Mus musculus: one gene and its partners. The protein of the gene in region 1 interacts with the protein of each later gene in a pairwise test. Links are inferred from orthologs where the notes say so. Each region holds a gene or a part of one and is shown in the gene's direction. Other genes may lie near its edges. The genes, in order: Htt, Pias1, Ptk6, Ppl, H2ap, Mbd4 and Mrfap1.

What was found.
Region 2: the proteins of Htt (region 1) and Pias1 interact in binary tests that used the Homo sapiens proteins (3 or more experiments, as listed by UniProt). The link is inferred for Mus musculus from reciprocal best matches to the Homo sapiens genes HTT and PIAS1.
Region 3: the proteins of Htt (region 1) and Ptk6 interact in binary tests that used the Homo sapiens proteins (3 or more experiments, as listed by UniProt). The link is inferred for Mus musculus from reciprocal best matches to the Homo sapiens genes HTT and PTK6.
Region 4: the proteins of Htt (region 1) and Ppl interact in binary tests that used the Homo sapiens proteins (3 or more experiments, as listed by UniProt). The link is inferred for Mus musculus from reciprocal best matches to the Homo sapiens genes HTT and PPL.
Region 5: the proteins of Htt (region 1) and H2ap interact in binary tests that used the Homo sapiens proteins (3 or more experiments, as listed by UniProt). The link is inferred for Mus musculus from reciprocal best matches to the Homo sapiens genes HTT and H2AP.
Region 6: the proteins of Htt (region 1) and Mbd4 interact in binary tests that used the Homo sapiens proteins (3 or more experiments, as listed by UniProt). The link is inferred for Mus musculus from reciprocal best matches to the Homo sapiens genes HTT and MBD4.
Region 7: the proteins of Htt (region 1) and Mrfap1 interact in binary tests that used the Homo sapiens proteins (3 or more experiments, as listed by UniProt). The link is inferred for Mus musculus from reciprocal best matches to the Homo sapiens genes HTT and MRFAP1.

The regions. Positions count from the first base shown.
Region 1 is NC_000071.6:34,904,740-34,908,239, forward strand, and holds part of Htt (huntingtin), read left to right. Parts: intron 1-574; coding exon 575-689; intron 690-791; coding exon 792-1,005; intron 1,006-1,359; coding exon 1,360-1,465; intron 1,466-2,344; coding exon 2,345-2,507; intron 2,508-2,693; coding exon 2,694-2,854; intron 2,855-3,500.
Region 2 is NC_000075.6:62,879,880-62,883,379, reverse strand, and holds the end of Pias1 (E3 SUMO-protein ligase PIAS1), read left to right. Parts: intron 1-1,118; coding exon 1,119-1,412; 3' UTR 1,413-3,303; downstream 3,304-3,500. UniProt on the Homo sapiens protein: Functions as an E3-type small ubiquitin-like modifier (SUMO) ligase, stabilizing the interaction between UBE2I and the substrate, and as a SUMO-tethering factor. Catalyzes sumoylation of various proteins, such as CEBPB, MRE11, MTA1, PTK2 and PML.
Region 3 is NC_000068.7:181,197,207-181,199,789, reverse strand, and holds part of Ptk6 (protein-tyrosine kinase 6), read left to right. Parts: intron 1-27; coding exon 28-191; intron 192-559; coding exon 560-713; intron 714-1,248; coding exon 1,249-1,410; intron 1,411-2,583. UniProt on the Homo sapiens protein: Non-receptor tyrosine-protein kinase implicated in the regulation of a variety of signaling pathways that control the differentiation and maintenance of normal epithelia, as well as tumor growth.
Region 4 is NC_000082.6:5,097,982-5,101,481, reverse strand, and holds part of Ppl (periplakin), read left to right. Parts: coding exon 1-108; intron 109-1,053; coding exon 1,054-1,151; intron 1,152-1,341; coding exon 1,342-1,499; intron 1,500-3,428; coding exon 3,429-3,500. UniProt on the Homo sapiens protein: Component of the cornified envelope of keratinocytes. May link the cornified envelope to desmosomes and intermediate filaments. May act as a localization signal in PKB/AKT-mediated signaling.
Region 5 is NC_000086.7:9,845,633-9,848,000, forward strand, and holds H2ap (huntingtin-interacting protein M), read left to right. Parts: upstream 1-1,314; 5' UTR 1,315-1,398; coding exon 1,399-1,752; 3' UTR 1,753-1,868; downstream 1,869-2,368.
Region 6 is NC_000072.6:115,850,542-115,854,752, reverse strand, and holds the start of Mbd4 (methyl-CpG-binding domain protein 4), read left to right. Parts: upstream 1-1,411; 5' UTR 1,412-1,542; coding exon 1,543-1,616; exon of another isoform or gene 1,617-2,057; coding exon of another isoform or gene 2,058-2,068; intron 2,069-3,913; coding exon 3,914-4,135; intron 4,136-4,211. Other genes in the region: Ift122 (intraflagellar transport protein 122 homolog), read right to left, coding at 1,044-1,084. UniProt on the Homo sapiens protein: Mismatch-specific DNA N-glycosylase involved in DNA repair. Has thymine glycosylase activity and is specific for G:T mismatches within methylated and unmethylated CpG sites. Can also remove uracil or 5-fluorouracil in G:U mismatches. Has no lyase activity.
Region 7 is NC_000071.6:36,794,367-36,798,236, reverse strand, and holds Mrfap1 (MORF4 family-associated protein 1), read left to right. Parts: upstream 1-1,482; 5' UTR 1,483-1,643; coding exon 1,644-2,021; 3' UTR 2,022-2,034; intron 2,035-2,292; 3' UTR 2,293-3,370; downstream 3,371-3,870.

The DNA.
Region 1 (3,500 bases):
AGACAGGTAGGAGGAGCTTACAAGTCCAAATCAGATAATCACATAGACCTTGCTCAATGCTTTGGGCAGAGGGTCCTGTACAAAACAGTGGCCAGTTCCTAGGAGTGGCAGTGTCATTTGAACAGATCTGAAAGGGGGTAGAAGAGATAGAGTGTGGCTCCTTTGTTTATGGTGCCATTGGTCTAACTCATATTCCAGCCAGGCCCCTGCTGCTGCCATTGGGCAAAGAGGCACCAACTGGAGATCCCATGAGTTAGAGTGTTACAAGTTAGCAAATGCATGGAGCAAACAGACACCCTGAAGAACCCTGACTAAGAACATAAAGAATGTTCAGGGAGAGTGAAGTGGTCTATGGACAGGTACAGAATTGGAGATGGCATGCTAAGCTAAGGCCATGCAGCTCTGGAGTGTAATCCCTAGGCCATCCAGGTGAAAAGGCCTGGAGAAGCTGACATGACCCCAGAGCTCTGTACTCAATAGATGTGGGTGGATAATGCTTTAAAACTGTCCCCTCTGCAGACAGGCAGGGGCTGCTGTATGTGACTGGGTATGATTATGTGTCTCCCATTCTTAGCTGCGTGAACATTCACAGCCAGCAGCATGTGCTGGTAATGTGTGCCACTGCTTTCTACCTGATGGAAAACTACCCTCTGGATGTGGGACCAGAATTTTCAGCATCTGTGATACAGGTGAGAGGGCTCTATTGAACATAGGCAGGTTACCATATTAACTGTACCAGTGGGTCATTGTGCTTTTGGGGAAGATAAGAATAAGCCTTTCTTCTTGTCTAGATGTGTGGAGTAATGCTGTCTGGAAGTGAGGAGTCCACCCCCTCCATCATTTACCACTGTGCCCTCCGGGGTCTGGAGCGGCTCCTGCTGTCTGAGCAGCTATCTCGGCTAGACACAGAGTCCTTGGTCAAGCTAAGTGTGGACAGAGTGAATGTACAAAGCCCACACAGGGCCATGGCAGCCCTAGGCCTGATGCTCACCTGCATGTACACAGGTGAGTGAGTTGTAAGGGTCATAGACTCACCCAAAGACTCAAGCCAGGCCTCATGGTGTGGCAGTCTTAGTGTGGCCCTAAGACATCCTGGTCACCTTTCCAGAAATTTAGGGCTCAAGGCAAGAGAGTAGCTCACATGATATCACCAAGTATTGATATCAGAGCTGCCTCTGGCCACTGCATCCCTGAGAGTTGGAAGAAAGTTGGGCTGGGTCCTGCCTTGCTAGGGACTGTAATCACCTGTTTTTGAAGGATCTCTGCCTATCTGGTAAAGTCCTGTTTGAGCCACTGAGTGCAGATTTCAAAACTCTTGGGCTTCTGTTCTGTATAGCCTACTTAGTGTTTTTGTTTCAGGAAAGGAAAAAGCCAGTCCAGGCAGAGCTTCTGACCCCAGCCCTGCTACACCTGACAGCGAGTCTGTGATTGTAGCTATGGAGCGAGTGTCTGTTCTCTTTGATAGGTAAGACATGCAGCAAATCTCTACCTCTAACCTCAGTAGTCATTGACTGCCCTAGAGCCACAGCCAGAGCAGTTCTTCTGTGTGTATTTGTTCATTCTCTTGAACTCTAAAATGTATCTTTGCAGCCATTTTTCCAGTGCATGCATATTCACAGAGCACCACCTGCAAACCAGACTCAGAGACAACTGGACCCATGCAGGTGTACAACCAAACCACTGCCCTGGTGGATCCCATAGGCCACTGCTGAGGAAATAGATACTCCTGGAGTATAGCCAAGTGCTGTGGTGGGGCTCAGGCCATATCCACAGGAAGGAGGCATGGCTAAGGGTCTGAGTCACTTGTGTACTTCTCAGCTGTATACCACAGTTGTGTGGCATTAGTGGAATAATCATAGGTCAGCGGTCTTTAAGGATGCTGCTGAGGTAAGGGTAAAGTGTTGGATGTTGAGAGAAGAATCAACAGGAGCATAGATGGGTGTCCAATTTTGAAGGGAAGAAAAGTTGCTGATTGACAGTAGTACTCTGGGTATTAGGACATACAACAGTGAAAAGTTTTGGTACATTTTGATGTGGAGAGTCTCTTCAGTAATATCACCACCCCACCCTTTTGCTGCTATTCCTTTACAAGGCTGTCCCACAACTGCATTATTCTCCCCAGAGTGGGAAAGATCACCTTGTGCCCAGATCAATCAGGGCAGCAAAAGAACAGCCTGGATATCATCTTTGGCTTTTAAAACTCATACCCTAGTTGTGGTCTGAGCCCCACTTGGAACATTCCTGTGGGTCAAGGACCTCTGAGCCTTAGTCCATGATGGCTCTATGGGCAAGGTTGAGAGGCCAAGAGCCAGGGTGAGGCTCAAATCAGCTCCTCTCATTTCAGGATCCGCAAGGGATTTCCCTGTGAAGCCAGGGTTGTGGCAAGGATCCTGCCTCAGTTCCTAGATGACTTCTTTCCACCTCAAGATGTCATGAACAAAGTCATTGGAGAGTTCCTGTCCAATCAGCAGCCATACCCACAGTTCATGGCCACTGTAGTTTACAAGGTGAGGGTGTACTTGCCTTGTGGGGTAAGGACAGAGCAGGAGGAGGAAGGGGGAGCCAATCCCACACTTGCCGTAGGCCTGTCATCAGGGCTAGACTCATCCTTTAAGATGAGTGGCAGCTGTGGCCCCAGTCCCCTCACCCCACCCCACAGTCTGACCCTGTGCTCAGGGCTCTCTTGTCCCTAGGTTTTTCAGACTCTGCACAGTGCTGGGCAGTCATCCATGGTCCGGGACTGGGTCATGCTGTCCCTGTCCAACTTCACACAAAGAACTCCAGTTGCCATGGCCATGTGGAGCCTCTCCTGCTTCCTTGTTAGCGCATCTACCAGCCCATGGGTTTCTGCGATGTATCCTTCCTTCCATGGGACTTTGGCCAGGTTCCTTGTTCACTTAGCATCCAGTTCAGGTTTCACTGAATGTTTTCAAACCTAAACTCTAAAGAACCTCACAGGTGGGTGGTGGTGGCGCACGCCTTTAATCCCAGCACTTGGGAGGCAGAGGCAGGAGGACTTCTGAGTTCCAGGCCAGCCTGGTCTACAGAGTGAGTTCCAGGACAGCCAGGGCTACACAGAGAAACCCTGTCTCAAAAAAACAAGAACCCCACAGGTGATGCTTACCCTTCCCTAAAATGTTGACAGGGACACGAAACAGAAGGTCTAACCATTTGCCAGCCAGGGTTTATGGCAGTTTTACTGCTGAGGGAAAGGGAAGTCCAAAGGGAGGCAGGGCAGCTCAGGCCAGCCAGCCACTGGCCCTGCGGCTGCCCCATCATCTGGCATAATCTGTCCCTCTGAGGTTTTCTCAATGCTGCTTCTCATTAGCTCTCATCTTTACGCTGTGGTCACCCTCCTGGGGAAAGCCGTAAGTAAAGCTGCAGTTCCCGCCCTAACAGTGATGCCAGGAGTTCCTCTTGGCAGCCTCCTTCTCAGTAGACCACAAGAGTTACTAGCAGCAAAGCTGTCTTGGTGGTGACAGTACAGCCTCACCCTAAGT
Region 2 (3,500 bases), on another chromosome or scaffold:
CATGGTCCCTGTCCTGAAAACCTTCCAGGAAACAAGATGTGGCTAGTAGACTGATTGTAACCCCTGCCTGACCTGTGTAGACCTGAGGGAGGGTGTGTGTGATGAATTTGTCTTTTTAGAAAAATACATAACTATATCTCCTATATAGATAGGAAGAAAGGAATTTTTTGCATAGCCATATGGTGTATTCATGTTTTAAGTGTTTAATTATAAAGAATTAAGTAGTCAGAAGCCTAAGATTTGTAGGCAGTTAATGGTTAATGGGGGAGACATTTTCTTCAGTGATATAGCCAGTGGTAAGTTGTCTGTGCTCTGTAAGCAACACTGACATTTGAAGTGGACTGTTGGAAAAGGAAGGAGACCAGCTAGGGGAAGAAAGAGCAAGAGAAAGTAGTAGAAGTGGTTATGGTTAAAAGACATATACACGTGAAAATGTTAGAACTCATTGTGTTTAATTTGTATGTTATGAATGTTTTAAAACAAAGTAAAATTAAAGAAAGATAGCTTTGGGATTTTTTTTTTTTAATAAATATAGAATGGTCTAAGCACAGAGTGCTGGTAAAGCCCACATAGTGCACAGATCTGTCCTCAGCCTTCACAGCCACTCCGCAGTGCTCCCTGACCCGGAGAGACTTGCAGCTCCGCACACCCGACTCAGAGTGCCCCACGCAGGTGGGACATTGCTTGGTTTTTACAGCAAGTTCTTCCTGCGCTTCCCAGCTCAGAGATGTTCATGTGCGCAAACCCTTTGCCCAGCACCTACAGTGCTGAGAGCAGAAGCAGGCTGCACCGAGCTGCAGCCCAGCCTGGGAGCAGCTGAGCAGCTGTGAGACAGTTCTCAAGCTGAACTTGCCATTGGAAATGTGGGATGTATCCTTCCTACTGCTTCTGAACACCTCAGAAACAGAGGGCTAAGAACTGCATGCAATACAAACTACATGCACACACAATCAAAAATGTCATTCCAGTCTCAGATACCATGCCAAAGCGCTCTCAGTAATAGTGACCAGTCGTTTACTACAGAATGTGTTGTCACTTGAGGAGCCTTGTTCTGCTGAGAAGAGTACGCCGAGGTGCATCTGATTGTAACAGAGTGTTTTGTCTCTGGTCCCTCCTAGCATTACAACACCTCCCTGCTAGCCGCAGCTGCAGCGGCGGTCTCAGATGACCAGGACCTCCTGCACTCCTCCCGGTTTTTCCCGTATACCTCCTCGCAGATGTTTCTCGACCAGCTAAGTGCAGGAGGGAGCACATCTCTGCCAGCCACCAACGGAAGCAGTAGCGGCAGCAACAGCAGCCTTGTGTCTTCCAACAGTCTGAGAGAGAGCCATGGCCATGGTGTGGCCAGCAGGAGCAGCGCAGACACAGCGTCCATCTTTGGCATCATACCAGACATTATCTCATTGGACTGACGCTCTCACCCTGCTGCTCCCACCCCATCCCAGATTAAATGACTTGGCAGAAGAGAACTCTATGCTCTGTTTTACCTTATCCTGTTTAGAAAAGTATACAAGCGTGGTTTTTTTTTTCCTTTTTTTTAGGGAAAAAAAAATTAAAAGAAATGTACAGAGAACAAAACTATATTTTCAGTTTTACTTTTGTATATAAATCTAAGACTGCCTGTCTGATAAAACACTTGTTTAAAAAAAAAAAAAAGAAAAAAGAAAAAGAAAAAACAAGCACCCACAAACCTTCAGTTCATTTTTTCTGGATTCTGAAGACTTCACCATTTGTCCTGTGGTTTGGGTTTTATTTTACTTCAATGGCATTATCTTTCTTGCAATAACGGAAACAATTGCATGTATGAGGTTTAAATTGTGGGCTTTGTTGTGGGGATGGGTTTGGGATAGCTTTGATTTCCATTTTTTAAAAGTGACAGACTTGGATTCTGTTTGTGTGTGCGTAGATTTTACCAGCCTTAAGTTATGAGCCTCGTCTATCTTACTGCATACCCTTTGTTTTCAAGACAGAGCTTGTGTGCGTGAGTGCGTGCGCGCGTGCGCGCAAGAGCGCCTGTGTACCTGTATGTGCTGTTCTGTCGTCACTCGCCCCTCCTCCTCAGTTTGCATTTGGTTATTATCACTCTTGTGTGAGCATCTTTCTCAACTCTCCCTAGGTGCATGTTCTCCATCCCAGATCCTCTGTGATCTGCTGTCTACCCTCTACGAGTGTGTTTCCCAGAAGTGCTGGAGCAAACGCTGCTTGGATGCGCAGTCTGTGGGCAGGCCCTCGAATGACAATACACTTCTGTTGATTCTAAGTCTGAATTGCCAGTATTCTGTATGTAATCCAAGGCTGTGAGCACTTGCATTTTGGCAACAGGGTAACAAGTTTTCCTTGAGGATCTTCATACCAAAATGGGATGTGAAAGAACCCCCGTAGCCCCGTGGGGTGTGGAGCTGGCAGAGGTCGTTCCGTTCCACCGAAAGAAAAGAAGGAAGGAAGGAAGGAAAGAAAGAATCGGTTATCCTAAAGTTAACAGTACAGCACAGCCCACATGTGGATCCATACCAAATCTATCTGATAAATAGTTGAAACTCAAAAATAACCTTAGTTATTTTGGTTTTCTGTCTCCGAGTATACTTCCTTTCTTAGCCGTGTTCTTTTTTCCTTCACCTTTAGTGAAAGCATGACATAGGAAGCCTTTTTTTTTTTAAATTCAAGAACCAATTGGTCTCACCTACTCTCAATAGCAGAATATGTAAATATATTAAAATTTGTTTCAGGAGGTGATTAAGGGTCAAAGGAAGGAAAAAATACTTCTCATACTTGAGAGTCCGCAGAGAAGAAAGCATGCTCTGACAGTGGGAGATAGATGGCAACTGATGGAGGATGCAGGTGTAACTGCAGAGAGCCAGGGCACACCATCACCAGCTCCTGCACTGGCTTTTATGTCCCACCTTCATGTTTTCAGAGTTGTGGAAGGACCATCTTTGTGTGTGGTAAACTTGTTTTCAAGCCTTGCATCCATAACAGAAGGACCGGTAGGTATTAATCCAGGTAGAAGTCATGATGACTGTGTCTTCAGTTGTATAATAAAGGAAGTGGTTCACATGACAGCGTGGCATCTAAAAATAATATCTATTTTATAGTCTCTCTGCTACTAAAATGTCGACTTGAATTTTTGAAAAAAGTTGGTGTTGATATGTATATGTGTGTGTGTGTGTATATATATATGTATTTATAAACAAGTGCGTGTGAGTAACATCATCGTCTTCCCCTACGCATGTGTGTTCCACACAGAAACGGCTGTGTTAGAGTCACAAAACAATTCGCAATAAAACAAGACATTTGTTATCAGTTAAAACCAGAAATAGTTATGTTTTTAAATTCATCTGGTGTTATGAATACAGGTTCTACCATCTCTCATTACTGTATTAATTTAGACTCACTTCAGATAACCATAATTTGTCTAAATTGGGATTATAGTGGAAATCACTGAAATTTTGAGGTGTTTCTATTAACATAGCAATAGGAAACATTATTTTAACTGAGGTAAA
Region 3 (2,583 bases), on another chromosome or scaffold:
TCTCCTTCCGCCGGCCACCCACCCCAGTCCGGGATGCTCAGGCCGTGCGACATTACAGGATCTGGAAGAACAACGAGGGCCGGCTGCACCTGAATGAGGCGGTATCCTTCTCCAATCTGTCTGAGCTTGTGGACTACCATAAGACCCAGAGCCTGTCTCATGGCCTACAGCTGTCCATGCCCTGCTGGAAGGTAGGCCACTGGCTCCTCTGTGACATAGTTGCCCAGGGTCCTACTGGTAGGGTATAATATGGGGGGGAGGGGATGGGGGCACAGGACAGGGCAATCTCCTTGGCTATTGCTCTTATTACACTGGCTCACCAGAGCTCAGATGTGCTCCTGCTGAGGACCAGTCCCTAACATTGATGGATGAAGACAGCAGCAATTTTATGAGGATATCCAGATACTGGATCTATCTCTAAATTTAAAAAAATAGATAATAAATAATAAATAATAAATAGAGCTCCTCATGAGGGGTTGGAGCAAGCCCTTCCTGAAGACAAGCTGGGCGACCCAGCCCCCATTCCTACCCATTCCTATTGCCCTTTCTGTCTCTCCAGCACAAAACTGAGCCCTTGCCCCACTGGGATGACTGGGAGAGGCCGAGGGAGGAGTTCACACTCTGTAAGAAGCTGGGGGCCGGCTACTTTGGGGAGGTCTTTGAAGCGCTCTGGAAAGGCCAGGTCCATGTGGCTGTGAAGGTGATCTCTAGAGGTGAGCAGGCCCAGGACTAACTCAACATGATCACGTGCTGCTTCCCCACTAGTCCTTCTAGTAGGCACTTCCAGTCTTCCCCCACTGAGGGTATCCCAACACACTTGCTGGGCACCCACAGCATCATGGTGGGAGTAACTTCTTTCAATTGTACCTGGTTTTGTTTTGTTTTGTTTTTTGTTTTTGTTTTTAAACAAGTCACTGGAAATGTGAGTTTCATCTCAAATCCCAACGTCACCCTCAGGTTTATACCTGAAACCTCAAGAATCAGGTCAGCCAGGACTTTGAAAACATCTGGCTGGGAAATGCTGACTTTGGCAATTGTGACCAAGTTGGGCACAGGAGGGCAAATGGACACATCAGTCTTGGGGCACTGAGGGCTCGGGGTGGGGAAGGCTTTAGTGTGGTAGCTTGGAGGCCAGCCTTTGTCTTCCTAGGCTGACCACATTGCCTGACTTGCTTCAGGAGGTCTGGGCCAGGATCCTGTTTGGGGCACAGGTCGAGGGCTATACTCACTGAGGTTGATGTCTCTCAGACAATCTCCTGCACCAGCACACCTTCCAGGCTGAGATTCAGGCCATGAAGAAGCTGCGGCACAAGCACATCCTGTCACTGTACGCTGTGGCGACTGCAGGGGACCCGGTCTACATCATCACGGAGCTCATGCCCAAGGGGAACCTGCTGCAGCTACTGCGTGGTACGTGCAAAGCTCCAGTCTCCTTTCCCGGGTGAAAGTGCTGGAGGCAGCATTTGGAGGCACAGACAGCCTGCTCTCTGAGCTTGAGGCCAGCCTGGTCTACAGAGCAAGCTCCAAGACAGCCAGGGCTACACAGAGAAACCCTGTCTCAAACCTTTCTCCTTTCCCTCCCCAAACCCCCCAAAACCAAAGATATAAAACAATCAAGGAAAGACATGCACATGTACACATGTATACATGTGCACACACCCTTAATAATGAGTACATGCATTACATCACACATGCTACATTGCCTCATACATACAAATCGTTAAAAAAAAAAAAAAAAAACCAATGGTGGGAGAGATGGCTCAGTGGGTGAAGTGCTTGCTAGGCAGGCACGAGGACCTGAGTCTGAGTCCCCAGAACTAGTTAGTGTAAAGGCAAGCACAGGAGTGGGCTTCTGTTACCTGAGTCTGAATCCTCAGAACTAGTTAGTGTAAAGGCAAGCACAGGAGCGGGCTTCTGTTACCCCTAGGCTTCTACGGTGAGATGGGAGGCAATGGGAGAATTCTTGTTTTATCTGGCTCAGTAGCAAACCACAAAACCATCCTGGAACACGTCACTGGTGAAGACTAACACCCGATGTTGTCCTCTGACTTCCACATACATACACACACACATCATACATACATACATAACAAAAGAGACAAGTAAATGGTCTTATTAAGTACAAAAAAAATCTACCAATTGCTGATCATAAAATTTGAAAAAGTACAGAAAAGAACTCTCCCTCACAATTTCTATCCTCACAGTTAGCTGAGGTTACTTTACTATAGGCTTGTGTAGCCTGCTAGTGACTTGCCTTAGCCCACCAGCTTCTCTCTAAATTCTAAATTCTCTCTCTTTCTTTGTGTTTCTCATAAAGAGCTTGATCTCATAAGCAGTTTCTGCAGGAAGAAGTCTCCAGAGATGAAACTCATGCCCCTTGTAGGTGTAGTACTTGCTGGCTGCGCATTATCTAGAGTGTTCAATGGCTACATACCAAGAATATCTTGCAGCAATGCTCTTGACCTTAGATTGCTTTATGATTCCCAGAAAGGGTGTCAGACAAAGAATATGCTCTTTGTCTCTAGGTACATAGCTGCAGAAGGTCTAGGCCTTCCCATTTTGCAATTAAGCCAAGCCAGCTGC
Region 4 (3,500 bases), on another chromosome or scaffold:
CGGGGAGAGCTGGGAGCTGACAGACAGCACTGGGAAGAAGCTGGCTGCCCCAGCCGTCTGCTTCATCATTCCCCCCACCGACCCCGAGGCCTTGGCTCTTGCTGACAGGTACAGACACAGAGGAGGGAGAAGAGAGTGGACCCACGCCTGGGCTCCGCAGCCTCTCTTGTTTAAACCCTCTTAGTGGCGGGTAGGATGCGACACATGCCTCTCATTCTGGCCTCCCTTAAAGGCTGCAGGAAGAGTGGCAGGCTAGGTTGGCTTGCTGAATTGGATGTCTGGCTAGGGGCCAGTGCAGCAGGTGTGTTCTCTTGGTGCCTCTGAGCCTTTGCCAAGTCTTAACCATCCCACCTGTGGCGCCTGTGTCCTGCTTCACCAATTCTGGCCCTTATTTTGTGCTCAGTAGGTCCCCCACCCTTTCTCTCTGTTTTCAGGATCTTTCAGAACTTCATTTTGCTAAGATCTGTGGGTTTGCCCCTTGACGTCAGTGTCAGGTGGCAAATCGCTCAGTCATGTGAGGACCCTTTGCTCAATGAGTAGACTCAAGGGGGTCCCTGGGCTTCTTCCTACCATCTATCAAACACCCGCTGCGCACCGTCCCTGCTAGTGACAGATGCTTCTAGGTAGCGGGGCTTGCAACGGAAGGTAAAGGAGAGGGGACAGAGGCAGAAGAGATTCTTCCCAAACCTTGTTGGTGTAACTCATGACGTACCTTTATTTCATTACTTGTTAGGGAGGAGGGAATGAATGCATGTGCATGTGACAGCACATATGTGGAGGTCAGAGGACAACTTGCTAGAGATTGTTCTTTCCTTCTACCATGTAGGTTCTGGGGATCAAATTCAGGCCTTCAGCTTGGTGACAAGCACCTTTACCCACTGAGCCATTTTGTTACCCCCTGCATCGTCCCCCCCGCCCCCAATAGTATTTTTGACTCTTCAAAACCCTCCAAGGAGCTACTTGGCTCCCATGGGCTGTTGCCCAACCCAGGATGGGAACCTGCTAGGAGGCTGGTATGAGACCAGGGTCCCCAGCACATTCTTGCTCTCACAGCCTGGGCAGCCAGTACCGAAGTGTGAGGCAGAAGGCGACTGGGAGCAAACATGCACTCCAGCAGCGGCATGAGGTGCTAAGGACGGAGAACCCTGGAGGTGGGTACCAGGGTGTCCTGTACAGGGCCAGGGACATGGGAGAGGGGATGAAGTAGACTGTGCTGTGCATGGGTGACAAGTATCTGCTAGAGGGCTGAGAGAGAGAGGCCAAGCCAGCCCAAGGACCTGGTTGGCTTTTGGGGCCTCGTGCTCCTTCACTGTCATCCCTGATTTGTCCTCCCTACGACAGATGCCTCTGATCTTCAGGGACGACAGCTGCTGGCTGGCTTGGACAAAGTGGCCAGTGACCTGGACCGGCAGGAAAAGGCTATCACAGGGATCCTACGGCCACCACTTGAGCAGGGACGGGCAATTGAGGATAGTGCGGAGCGGGCCAAGGGTCTCAAGGTATTGCCAGGCTGGGGCTCCTGCTCAAGGTTCCACCTCTGTGGGGCCTTGGGACATTCAAAACAGGTGTTGGATAATTATAGAGGTAATTATGGAGAGCTGTCCCAAGGGTCGGGGCCCAAACAGATGCCCTGTCCTGGAGCTCTGGCATATCCCAGATGTGATCTGGCTCTGTTTCTGAGTGGCTTTTCAGCCTAGTATAACAGCCATAATAATGATAGCAGGAACTAGAGTCCTAGCAGTATCTGCTGAGTGAGGCTGTGGGCAAGAGGTGGATTGGCTGTGGAAGGGCAGATCCAGCCCACTTCTGCTTGCCCTGCCTGTGACAAGCCAGGGTCTCCTCCCTCTCCCTCTCCCTCTCCCTCTCCCTCTCCCTCTCCCTCTCCCTCTCCCTCTCCCTCTCCCTCTCCCTCTCCCTCTCCCTCTCCCTCTCCCCCTCCCCCTCCCCCTCCCCCTCCCCCTCCCCCTCCCCCTCCCCCTCCCCCTCTCCCTCTCCCTCTCCCTCTCCCCCCCCTCTCCCTCTCTCCTCTCTCTCTCCTCCTTCCCTATCTTCCTTCTTTCTCCTCTTCCCCTTCCTCTTCTTCCTCTTATTTCTCCTCCTCCTCCTCTTTTCTGAGACAGGGTTTCTCTCTGTGACCCTGGCTGTCCTGGAACTCACTCTGTAAACCAGGCTGGTCTCTAAGTCAGAGATCTGCCTACCTCTGCCTCCCAAGTGCTGGGATTAAAGGCGTGTGCCACCACTGCCTGGATCAGGCGTGGGCTGGTCCTCATTTGAGCTGCTGAACCTGGTAAGAGGCCCACGTCTCCATTGACCACTACCTACTCTCATATCCTTCTGCCTGACAGCTCTCTGTGGTAGGTCCTGCCATCCCTGTTTTAGAGAAAATTAGAGTCAGAAAAATCCAGTGGTCTCTGGTGCCTGGCACAGGAGTGAGGGGTAGAGGTCCAGGGGCATAGGCCCACAGTATCACAAGACTCCAAGTTCTGTGGAGTCACAGGATGGGCATATCACAGTATCTACCTGGCAGGTTGCTCAAGATTTCATGAACTCTTTCATGAAAGGTATATAGAGTATCCTGTGTCCAGGGGCAACCTGCTGTTGTCTGAGTTACGGACTTTAGCAGTCCACTTGTACCAGATCCTCATTAAAAACACAGACCCTGGGACGGAGAAGAGAGCTTGGTCAGTGGAGTGCTTGCTTTACATAGCGCACAGGCAAGGAGGACCTCAGCTCAGTCCCCAGCACTCACATCAAAAGCTGCGCATGGCGGGACACCCCCATAATTACTTCCACTGCTGAGGAGACAGGATCACAAGGAGATCGGTGAGGCTTGCCAGCTGGCCAGCCTAATTGACAAGCCCCAGTTCCTACTAAGAGATGCTGTCTGCAAATCAAACAGACAAGGCAGGGCTCAAGAGAGGCTCAGTTTATAAAGTGCTCACACACAACCATAAGGACTGAGTTCAGATCCCTAGCATCCAGGCTTAAAAAAAAAAACTAAAACCCAGCATGGTTGCACTGGTCTATAAATCTGACTTTGGATAAAGCCTACTTGCTAATTGGTAAGCACTGTTCTCAGTGAGAGACCTGTCTTAGAAGACAAGACCGTGATCTAGAGAGAACTGACACTGACCTCTGACCTCCACATTTACACTCCCACCAACTCCACCTCTCCCTTCCACTCAAAATAAAATAGATGGCTCCCAAGGAATACTGAGGGTGACCTCTGGTTTCTCATACATATACCCACCCATGTTTGTGCACATACACACACACACAACCCACAGACTGCCAGACTGGTGATTGGGCTCCAGATGGACACCCCAGGGAGGTGAGCCTTCTCAGCCGTTCGCACTGTCCCAGGGCACATCCTTGACGGAAGAGAGCTGTAGGGCTGTGGTTGACCCGGGCAATCTTGATCTCTGTAGAACATTACCAATGAGCTGCTACAGATTGAGCCAGAGAAGACGCAGTGCACAGCCGAGTGTGAAGCCTTTGTG
Region 5 (2,368 bases), on another chromosome or scaffold:
TTTCCACATTGACCCTCAAGCCTACCCCCAAGTTCCAGTAGTCTCTCCCTGTACTCTCTCCCTCCATTGCTTCCTCCCCAAACTGGTCTCTCCTGTTCCTTCACTACCCACCTCCAGTATACCCACATAATCTATTCTATCACCCCTTCCCAGGGAGATCCAGGCTTTACCCCTAGAGCTCTCCTTGTTACTTAAGCCTCTCTGGGTCTGTGGATGAAGCATGACTATCCTTTACAATTAAGGACCCATGAAAAAAATCAAATGTTTGATGAAATGAGTTATATAGATCTATAAGCTTTGGGAAATGCTATATCAGCAGAAATAATGTCAGATTAGATCAAAGGTGACAGAAGATGAAATGACAAAAGTCTGTGGGATTCTTAAACTTTGTGAAGAACAACAGTGTATAAGATTACTCACTCATAACCTTGTGTTACCATCACTCAAAGGATACATGATTCAAAGAAACTATTGGCGAGTCTAGAGGGAAGAGATCTGGCTATAGATAAGACCATGGAATCAATAGAGCCAGGGTAAATGGTCTCACATCTCATGAGGTTATTATTCTGCCCTGATATCCAATAAAGTTTTACATAGTTGGGTTTTAACATTTAACTAGATTGAAGATTCATTATACTTTCTTTCTCTTGGAATAGGAAAGTTATTGGGTACAAGTGAACTAAAATACAACCAAAAAGCAGAAACAAGATATTAATAGAAAGAAAAATTGAAATTAAATATCTATACTAGGGCTTGGCTTTAACCCAACTAATCCAAGAAAGCTACATCCTGACTCAAATGGCACACAAAGTACAGATACCAACATCTATGTACCAGAAGCACACTGAGCATTTCCTCTTCAAAAAAATAGATATTTTGAAGATCAGATACAACTCATGTAGATACTGAATGAATACATGTTCAAAGGTGTACAGGATTGTTAACCAAGCCGATTTAAATAAGTAAATTGAATCAAAATGGGTCTCAACACTGCTTGAAGAGGACAGTCAAACCTCTACCTGGAAATGTATTTGACATGCTTATTACTGCCCCATAATTACTGAAAGAATGGTTGTGACGACATACAGTTTCCAGTAAAACATTATTTCTACAATGTTAATTCAAGTGTAAACTGAGGAGAGCTACAGTTTCCTCAAAATCGAGGTAGGGTGGCCACATTGCTGTGATAGATATTTCTAGGCTCTGAGGCCTAGTCAGAACCCATAACCCACCAGGCACCAATGACATCTCAAAGCCTAAGATGTCATAAAGGTAGCTCCTGACCAATGAGGTGCAGAAGCTGGGGGTGCAATGGGCCTGACTGAACAGTGTCTTCAGAGAGCCAGTCCTGCTGGTGAACCAGGCAGAGCTTACCGGAGCCCAATCCATCAAACCATCATGTCGGAGAAGAAGAGCCAAGAAAAGCCTTGCAGCGACAACAACCAGATAGAAGATCCTTCTTCTAGGCCTGAGGTACAGGTTCCTGTGAATTATGTGTACCGTATACTGCAGGAGGAGCAATATACCCCCTGCATAGGGTCCACAACTTCAGATTTCCTTCTTGCCATGCTTGATTACCTCACCGACTACATCCTGGAGGTGGTGGGCTCCGAAGCCAACATCAACAACCAGCAAAATATCTCACAAGATAGAGAGAGACAGAGAGACAACGACCGCGAACCCTCTCGAGGCTTCAAGAATGCGCCTTTCTCTCTGTTTGACGAGATGCCTGGACCCAGAAGGAATGGCTAAAGAATGGGGTACACAACCCAAGGGTGGAAAGCCTCACAGACTCAGCTAGAACCATGAAGGCTAATAGCAGAGGAGGCTCCCCTGGTGTCCATGACTACTAATAAAATGTTTAAATGAAAGCTAATTGTTCTGACTTTTTTCATTTGTTTCTCCTGGGTTGGAGGTTATCCACAAGATACTAAAGAAAGAATGGAAGATGGAGGTTATGCTTAAGGAGTGCTTGTTTGAATTAAGGGAGCACTTCTCAGGGGTGGGGGGTGGCTTGGGTAGTGACCCTGGTGGGAGAAATTGGGTGGAGGGGAGGGCAGAGAAGGCTCCCTTGTTGGCTCTGAGTACAAAAGAAGCCTCAGAGAAGATCAGAAGTTGGCTGTAACCTCATTGGCAAGTTATATTTTCAGTATGGTAACTTAGAAGAAACTACTGATGAGCAGAAAATTTGCATGGAAGTCTTCTTTCATGGGAGGGAAGGTCTCAGAGGAGAAGGAAATGGGTATCGGTGAAGGGGTACAGACAGTCAGCATGAGCCACATGAGTGGGCATAAGGGACAGAGCATTCAGTTGATGATGGTGTGATGGTGAAGCCAGAAGGAAGCATCCACTTTAGAAGAGGTAAAAT
Region 6 (4,211 bases), on another chromosome or scaffold:
GACAGAGTCATTCTATTGTCATTCTCTCTTTTTAAAACACTTTTTGATTTTTTTTTAAAGATTTATTTATCATGTATACAGCATTCTTCCTGCATATACACCTGCTGGCCAGAAGAGGGCACCAGATGTCATTATAGATGGTTGTGAGCCATCATGTGGTTGCTGAGACTTGAACTCAGAACCGCTTGAAGAGCAGACAGTTCTCTCAACCTCTGAGCCATCTCTCCAGCCCAATATTTTTTTTTACTATATATTTTTTTCTTTTTCTTTTTTGTTCGTTTGTTTTTGTTTTTAAAGACAGGGTTTCTATGTGTAGACTTGACTGTCCTGGAACTTATCCAAAGTGCTCTTAAATACTAAGCCTTAATCCTCAGTATTTAAAATTAAGCTTTAAATTAAGCTCACTCTTAAGTACTAATTTTGAAAATACTCCTCAAACTTCCCAATCAAGAGATGTCTTGACTTGATCGCATCTTACATGTTTCTCTGACCGTACATGGAAATGTCCTGTTTCAGACACAGTAGATCTCAGCTCAGGTGGAAATGCTCAGAACCGAGATGCAAGTTACTCACACCGTTTTGTTTGTTCCTGCTCGAAAATTTTTAATCCCGGCACTGGGGAGCTAGAAGCATATGTATCTTTGTGAGTTCAACGCCAGCTTGGTCAACATAGTGCATTCCAGACCAACCAGAGCTTTAAAGTGAGGCTCTATCTCAAAAACAAACCAACAAAAACAGGAGAAATTTAAAGAATGTCAGATAAACAAAAGTGTGGGCACTTTGAGGATGGTTAGGAAGCTGAGAAAACACTGGTGGGTGAGGAATTTTGAGAAGAGAGAAGTGAAATTGGATGATGATGACGTATAAACTGCTCCAGCCTCCCTCAGATGATCCCTATGCCCCTCCAGGAATCTCAGCTTCTCTTCCATTGGGAAGTTGAAGGCACGGAATCAGAGTCCTCGGTCCAGGCCGCAGGCCCGTTGCCATGGCAATGCGCCGGTTCCTGCCGCCTCCCCGCCATCCCCGAAGTTCCCGCTCCTCACCACTGCTCCGCTTTGTCTCTCCACGTCAACACGGCCCTCATCGCCGTTTCCCTCACGCTTCGGGCCCCTCCTCCCAGCCTCGGCAGCAACAGGCTTCTTTCCACAAACCACTTCAGCTACCTGCGCTACCCTTAGCAACGCACATGCGCAATGAACCGCGCATGAGTTTCCCAAAGCTCCAAGTGCGCATGTACAAAAGGGAGCCCACCTCCTCCGCCGAAGCGCCGGGCGCGTAGGGACGCAGGAGGCGGAAGCGTAAGTATGACACGAGCGATTGGTCCGGAAAGGTGGGTGGGGCGGGGAGTCTTGACGACAGAGGGTTTGATTGGCGGGACCCTGGCTGTGGCATCTGTAGCTGAAGCGGTGGCGGGAAGGCTGCTGTGTGGGTTGATTGACTTTCACGTCGGTGTTTGGATTCGGCTCAGTGGTTTGAGTTGTGTTTTACTCCACCTCTCGGCCTGGAGCTGCAGCTGCGCCCCAGTGGACCAAAGCAGCAGGGATGGAGAGCCCAAACCTTGGGGACAACAGAGTCCGTGGAGAGAGCCTAGTTCCAGACCCGCCTTGGGATCGCTGGCAAGTTATTAAACCTCTCTCGGGCCTCAGAGGAGTCGCTCTTGTGTGGGTCTTCCTAACCTTTAACACAAGGTGGCACCTAGAGCTGTCGCCCTGTGGGAACAAGACTAGGGTGTACCCGATTCCTTGGCCGAACTGACTGGGGAGCTTGGAGGACAAGGGAGGTTTTGTGATGCAAGCAGGTTAGCCTGGGCCGGAAGGGACCCTCAGAAATAGCCCTATGACAAGTCACAGAGGAAGCTACTGTTGTGTCCGGGCTAAAATGATGCACGTATTTGCATGTCCCAAAACTTGGGCGCTCAAACACTTTTAAGGGCTGGGCATTTAACTAAGTTGGTAGTGTTTACGTAGTAAACACAAAGCCGAGGGTTCGAGCGACAGCACCGAATATCCGGGCTTGGCGGCGTCTGCCTGTGGAGGCAGGAGGATCAGAAGTTGAAGATGAGTCTCTGGTACGTCGTGGGTTCAAAGCTAGCCTATGGTACATAAGATTCCCGGCTCAAAAGCAAACAACAAAACTTTTTTTTTTTTAATGCTACTTCCTTTTTACAGATGGAGAACGGAGATTTTGAGCTCAAAGTGACTTTCTCTTTGGAAGATCAGCTAATAATAAGTAGCGAGCTGGGGTTTTGACCCATTTTGTTAACCTAACAGTTTTGTAGGGATTCCCTCAGGTTTCAGTTACCTTGTCTCCCTATAAGATCCTTCTAGCTGATACCTAACGCCAAATTCCATCTAAGAATGCCATGGTTCTAATTGTGGTTAGTCTCTAGGTCTTGCTTAGTGTCCCTATTTCCCTATTTGTAGAAAGTAGGTTGGGTTAGAAGGTCTCTCTAGAGACCCACTTTTTTTTCTTTATGTGTTTGTCTATATACGTAGGTGTTGGTGGAGACCAGAGGAGGTGTCAGGTTCACTGGCGCTGGAGTTGCAGGCAGGGTGTTATAAGCTGCCTGATGTGGGTACGGAGTCTCCTGGAATATGTGCTCTTAACCACTGAGCTATCTCTCCAACCCCTCACTTTTAAAATGTATAGTTTAGTGATTAAAATACACTGTACTAAACACTGGAGAGATAGTTCAATTGTTTAAAGCACTTACTGCTCTTCTGTAGGACCTGGGTTTGGTTCCCAGCACCCACAGCAGAGGCTCACATCCATCTATAACTTGGCTCCAGGGGATCTAAGTCCATTCAGGCCTCAGCACCTTCATGGTGCTCATAAATAAGAATAAATAAATTCTTTAAAGGGGGAAGAGATCCACTGCACTGGAGGTTTTGTGGGAACTATCCCCCCCCCATAACAGTATGGGAGAAGTATTAGGTGGGCCTAGGTTTCGGGGTCCACTCTGCAGGTGATTTGATTTTGTTATCACACAATTTGTCAATAAGAGTAAAATAATTCTTAGAGATTTATTTATTTATGTTATATATATGTTTTATATACATGGGGTGTGGGTGTGGGTGCTTTGTCTTGCATACCAGAAGAGAGCATCAGGTCCCATGTGATTACAGTTAGAAGATTGTGAGCCATCGTGTGGTTGCTGGGAATAGAACTCAGGACCTCTGCAAGAGTAGCTCGTGTTCTTAACAGCTAAGCCATCTCTTCACCACCCAATGAGAGTACATTTTAACCTCACAAAGTGATGAGAATCAAGACTGAAAGAGAGCTGGAAGTTCTTACCAGAAATTATGTAGCTTTTGGAGGGCCATGCTATTTTACAAAAGTGGTAGTTGTTGGTTCTCAAAAATGCACACATATGTGAAGTGTTCCCCTTACATGTTTGCAGGAAAGAGGGGGTGATTCATTTGAGCAGTTTGTCTGATCTCAGATGAAAAGTTCAGTTACTGGCTCATATCTCAGACTTCCAACAACTGTTATCAGAATCCTTTATTGAATCCCTATAGTGTGAATTAAGAAAAAGTTTAGCAGGTATACTGTGTGGAGAGTCCTAACATTTAAAAACCCATGTTGAGCTAGGCAGTGATGGTATATGCCTTTCTTCCCAACATCTGGGAGGCAGAAGCAAGCAAATTTCTGTGAGTTGGAGGCCAACCTGGTCTATGGAGTGAGTTCCAGGACAGCCAAGACTACACAGAGAAACCCTGTTTGAAAATCAAGGTGGAGGAGGACACTCATGTTGAAGGACAAGAAGTTGTTAGAGCTGGACAATCCTCATGGCACAAGACTAGCTCACTGACTTTAATTTGTATTTTATACAGTCTCATACTGCTGTGGGCAGAAACTGAGGAAGCAGGGTAAAAGCAATTTTAAGTTCATCACTTGGGTTTTGTTTTTCCAGCAAGGAAGATATTGCTGTTGGACTGGGAGGAGTGGGAGAAGATGGAAAGGACCTGGTGATAAGCAGTGAGCGCAGCTCCCTTCTCCAAGAGCCCACTGCTTCTACTCTGTCTAGTACTACAGCGACAGAAGGCCACAAGCCTGTCCCGTGTGGATGGGAAAGAGTTGTGAAGCAAAGGTTATCTGGGAAAACTGCAGGAAAATTTGATGTATACTTTATCAGGTAAGCATTTAGGAAGGAAAATAACAATACCGCCAAGTGATTTTTGTCCGTAATGGGAAAGGATAGCAAGAATCTG
Region 7 (3,870 bases), about 1.9 Mb from region 1:
CAGACAGACAGAGGACAGACAACACAGGGAGCCTGAAACACACAGTTCGGATCTGGACTCACTCTTAGTTAAACAACTCCAAGAAGAATTGCTTCTGTTTCTTTCCTTAATGTGACACTGATACATTATTGGTAACTCAGAGGGAATCACTAATGGGTACAATCCATGTGCAGGGTTTTGGGTGGATTCATGGGTTCAACTAATTTGCTGGGTTGTACAGTAGAAGCTGTCTTAGCCATAGAGATCACATTCCCACCAATTAAGACGGGAGGGAGGGGCAGAGTGAGAGGGTGAGGGAGGGGAAGGGAGAGTAGTAGCGAGAGGGAGAGAAAGAAGAGAATTTCCTGGGATCAATGTATACCAGCCTTTCCCCATGTCAGGGTTCTGCAGTCTAAGTATCCTGATGCAGTGTGCAACAGTATCCCATTGTCCTCTGAACCATTTGCTTATTCATGTTCTTACCCTGGATTATTTTTAAACAAAAGCCACTGAGTGTAGAGTCCAATTAAAGATATGCACTTTATATATGCCTATGGTTGGTTTTTGCAAAATGGTTTCACGACTTGTGGTTAGAAAACCAGTGAGATACATAGTTTAGATTCCTGAGAAAGTACTGTCTGATCGTAGACTAAGAATTCGGCATCTCCCCTTAAAGTTCAGTGTTGGTTGAGTAACAGTTACGCAAATGTAGTCGTCTGAGCCAACTTCTGTCCTTTCCACAGCAAGTGATCACCAACTGAATGTGACCTGGGGCCTCAGAAAGCATCAGACAATAGTTTCACCTTAGGAAGCCAGGAGCTCTGTCAGGTAAAAACACACCCAGCCACTCCGTCAATCAAGATATGATAATTCACTTAAACTAACCAAAGGGGCGGAGCTATGAGCAGGATGACTGTCCACACATGGCTTTCCAAGATTCCTCTTTCCCCAGTTTCGAAAAACTGTTTTTGTTGTTGTTGTTGTTGTTTGTTTGGTGGTTTTGATTTGTTTTGAAACAGGGTCTATGTACTGAACTCACTATGTACACCAGGATGACCTCAAACTCAAGGATCGGTCTGCCTGCCGCCTCTACCTCCCAGGTGCTGGAATTAAAGGCGGGCTCTTTTTCTTTTTTAAAAGTAAACTTGTCGGGTGCGGTGGCTCACACCTGCGACACGGGAAGCTACGGCAAGAGGACTGCCTAGAGTTCAAGATCAGTTTAAGCCAAATAATTGAGTTCCAGGCCAGCCTTGGCTACAGCGTGAGGTCCTGTTTCAAAAAGTAAATAAATAAAATCGGAATAAGATACAGGAAGGGACGAACTTCGCATCACCCAGAGCAGCTGCAAAAGCTGCGAAAGGGAGGCCGACCTAATGTCAGCGCGCGGCCGCAGAGGCGCTCGCCCCGCCCCTTCGTGGACGCGAGCGCGCCCGCCCCTTTCAGCGCGGCCGTAAAGAGGGGGCGCGGAGGTGTCGTGAAAGGGGTCGCAAAGCGCCGAGCGCTGGTTGACGGTTGAGACTCCATTTTGTTCGTCGCTCGCCCGCTCGGCAGTCACTCGTCTCCGTGGCTTCTCCGAGGCGGAAAGTTGGACCGGCGGCGGAAGTTTTGAGGACTCGGCCCGAGCTCCGTCCGTGAGGGTCGTGCAGACGAGCAGAGCAGCGGCGATGCGGCCCCTGGACGCGGTGGAGCTGGCGGAGCCCGAGGAGGTGGAGGTGCTGGAGCCCGAGGAGGACTTCGAGCAGTTTCTGCTGCCCGTCATCCACGAGATGCGCGAGGACATCGCGTCGCTGACGCGCGAGCGCGGGCGCGCGCCGGCGCGCAACCGGGGCAAGCTGTGGGAGATGGACAATATGCTGATCCAGATCAAGACGCAGGTCGAGGCCTCCGAGGAGAGCGCCCTCAACCACCTGCAGGGTGCCGGCGGCGCCGAGCCCCGCGGCCCCCGGGCGGAGAAGGCCGACGAGAAGGCGCAGGAGATGGCGAAGATGGCCGAGATGCTGGTGCAGCTCGTGCGGCGGATAGAGAAGAGCGAGTCTTCGTGAGGAGCCGGCCGCGGTAAGGGCGGGAGCCTGGCGGGGCGTGGGCGACGGTGGGGGAGGAGGCTGGCTTGTCGCCTCGGGAGTAAACTAGGCCCCCCCTGGGGAAGGAGTAATAGCAAATCGTCGGCGGGGAGACCGTGGAAGTTTCCAGATGGTGCTGGAGAGCATGGGGCCCTAAGTGAGACAGCGTCCAGAAGGGGGCCGGGTATTTGCTTTGCTGTCCGGACAGCGTGATTAACCTCTCGGTGATGAATCTCTCCCGCCCGTGCCTTAGGTTTCCAGCCAATGGATTCTGGTTGAGTGATGGCGATTGGCTGACATGACACCCTGGAGAAGCTGAAACCAGAGAGCCTTTTGTTTTCCTTTTTTTTTTTTTTTATCTCCTTCTTATTTTTTTTTCTTTTCCCCTCTGTCTTCCCTCTGTTTCTCACTGACACTACGTTTCTGCTATGGTCTGCGGTTGACGACCTCGATATGAGTTTTTGATTATTCGGTGGTTCCTTTTTTTTGTTTGTTTGGGGGAAATAACTTTGATTTGGAAAATGCGCTCACATACGGGAATTAGGGCCTAGATTGTAAGCCCTGTGGCAGTTGAATAACGTTCATTCCTGGCCTTTGGTTGTTGTTCCTAAATTTTGAGGTGCTTTGCTCTTTCTTGGGTGACCTGATAGCTCCCTGAACTTTGAATCTCTGTGACACTTGAGACTCAGAGTTGAAGCTCACCGCCTCTGAAAGTTCTGAAGGAGCTGTGTTAATTCTCGAAGACTCCATGCAGCAATGGCAGAAGAGACCAGACTTCATCCGGGACAGTGGATGGGCCTTACATGGCTAGGACTGATGACCTGGGAGAAGGGTCGGAGGATAGTATTGTTTCTATTGGGGGACTTTAATTTCTGTGTGAGACCAAAGGAGGAGAGATGTATTTTGTGCAAAATTTAAATTTTATGTGCTACACTATCTATTGTAACCTGCCTGGTGAGTTTGTTGGGACAGCCTAACTCATTTCTAAAAGAAATGGAACCTCGGATGGGAGAAGAGGTCTTGTTAGTCTGTACAAGTTGGTATCCCCATATATTCGAGGAGATCCTGGCCATAAAATGAAAGATCCTTGCAATACCCTGTGTGGCCTAGGAAGGAAAACCTGCAATGGACCCAAAACTTAAAAGAAGAGGCGTCTTAAAGGTTCATATGTAGTCGAACTATAAATGTATGAGTGGCAGACCTGATAAGCGTTTGAGGTCAAAACCCTTACCATGTTGAAAACAAAATCTTACATGTTAATAAAAGTATTCGTTTGCTTGAAAAGATCAGCCCGGAGAGTTACTAAGAAATATTAAGTGAAGTCTTCCTTCAGTGGCCTGTGTTTAGTTTAAATGAACATTCTCCAGTTTTGGGAGTCTGGGTAAGCAGAAGGGGATTTCGACTGCTGTAGGAAACGTGAGAATAGGAAAGTCTTGATTCCTAGTAGCAAGTCCACAGTCTTAGCCTCTGAGACCAGTCCTTTTACTTGCCTTTTACTTGACTCCTGTTCTTTACCAGTCTTGATGATACAACAGCAACAATGTATTGACTCCCTTCAGACAAGAAGGGCTGGGTCCCCAACTGCTGGGATTGACCCTGTGTGGCCATCATCTCATTCCTAGGTGGCCAAAGTCTAGGGCCCTCCCTTTTAAGGACACCCCACCCTAGACATCTTAGAATTCTTGTGTCTGCTGAGGGAACTGCAGCCCAGCCTAACTTCTGACTGCTCTGCATGTTCCTATCCGGGAGTGACCATTGAACCTCACGTGTATGGTTCCTTCTTGGTACTGCTGAGGCACCAGCTTCTGGGCTCTTAACAGATGCAATTGCC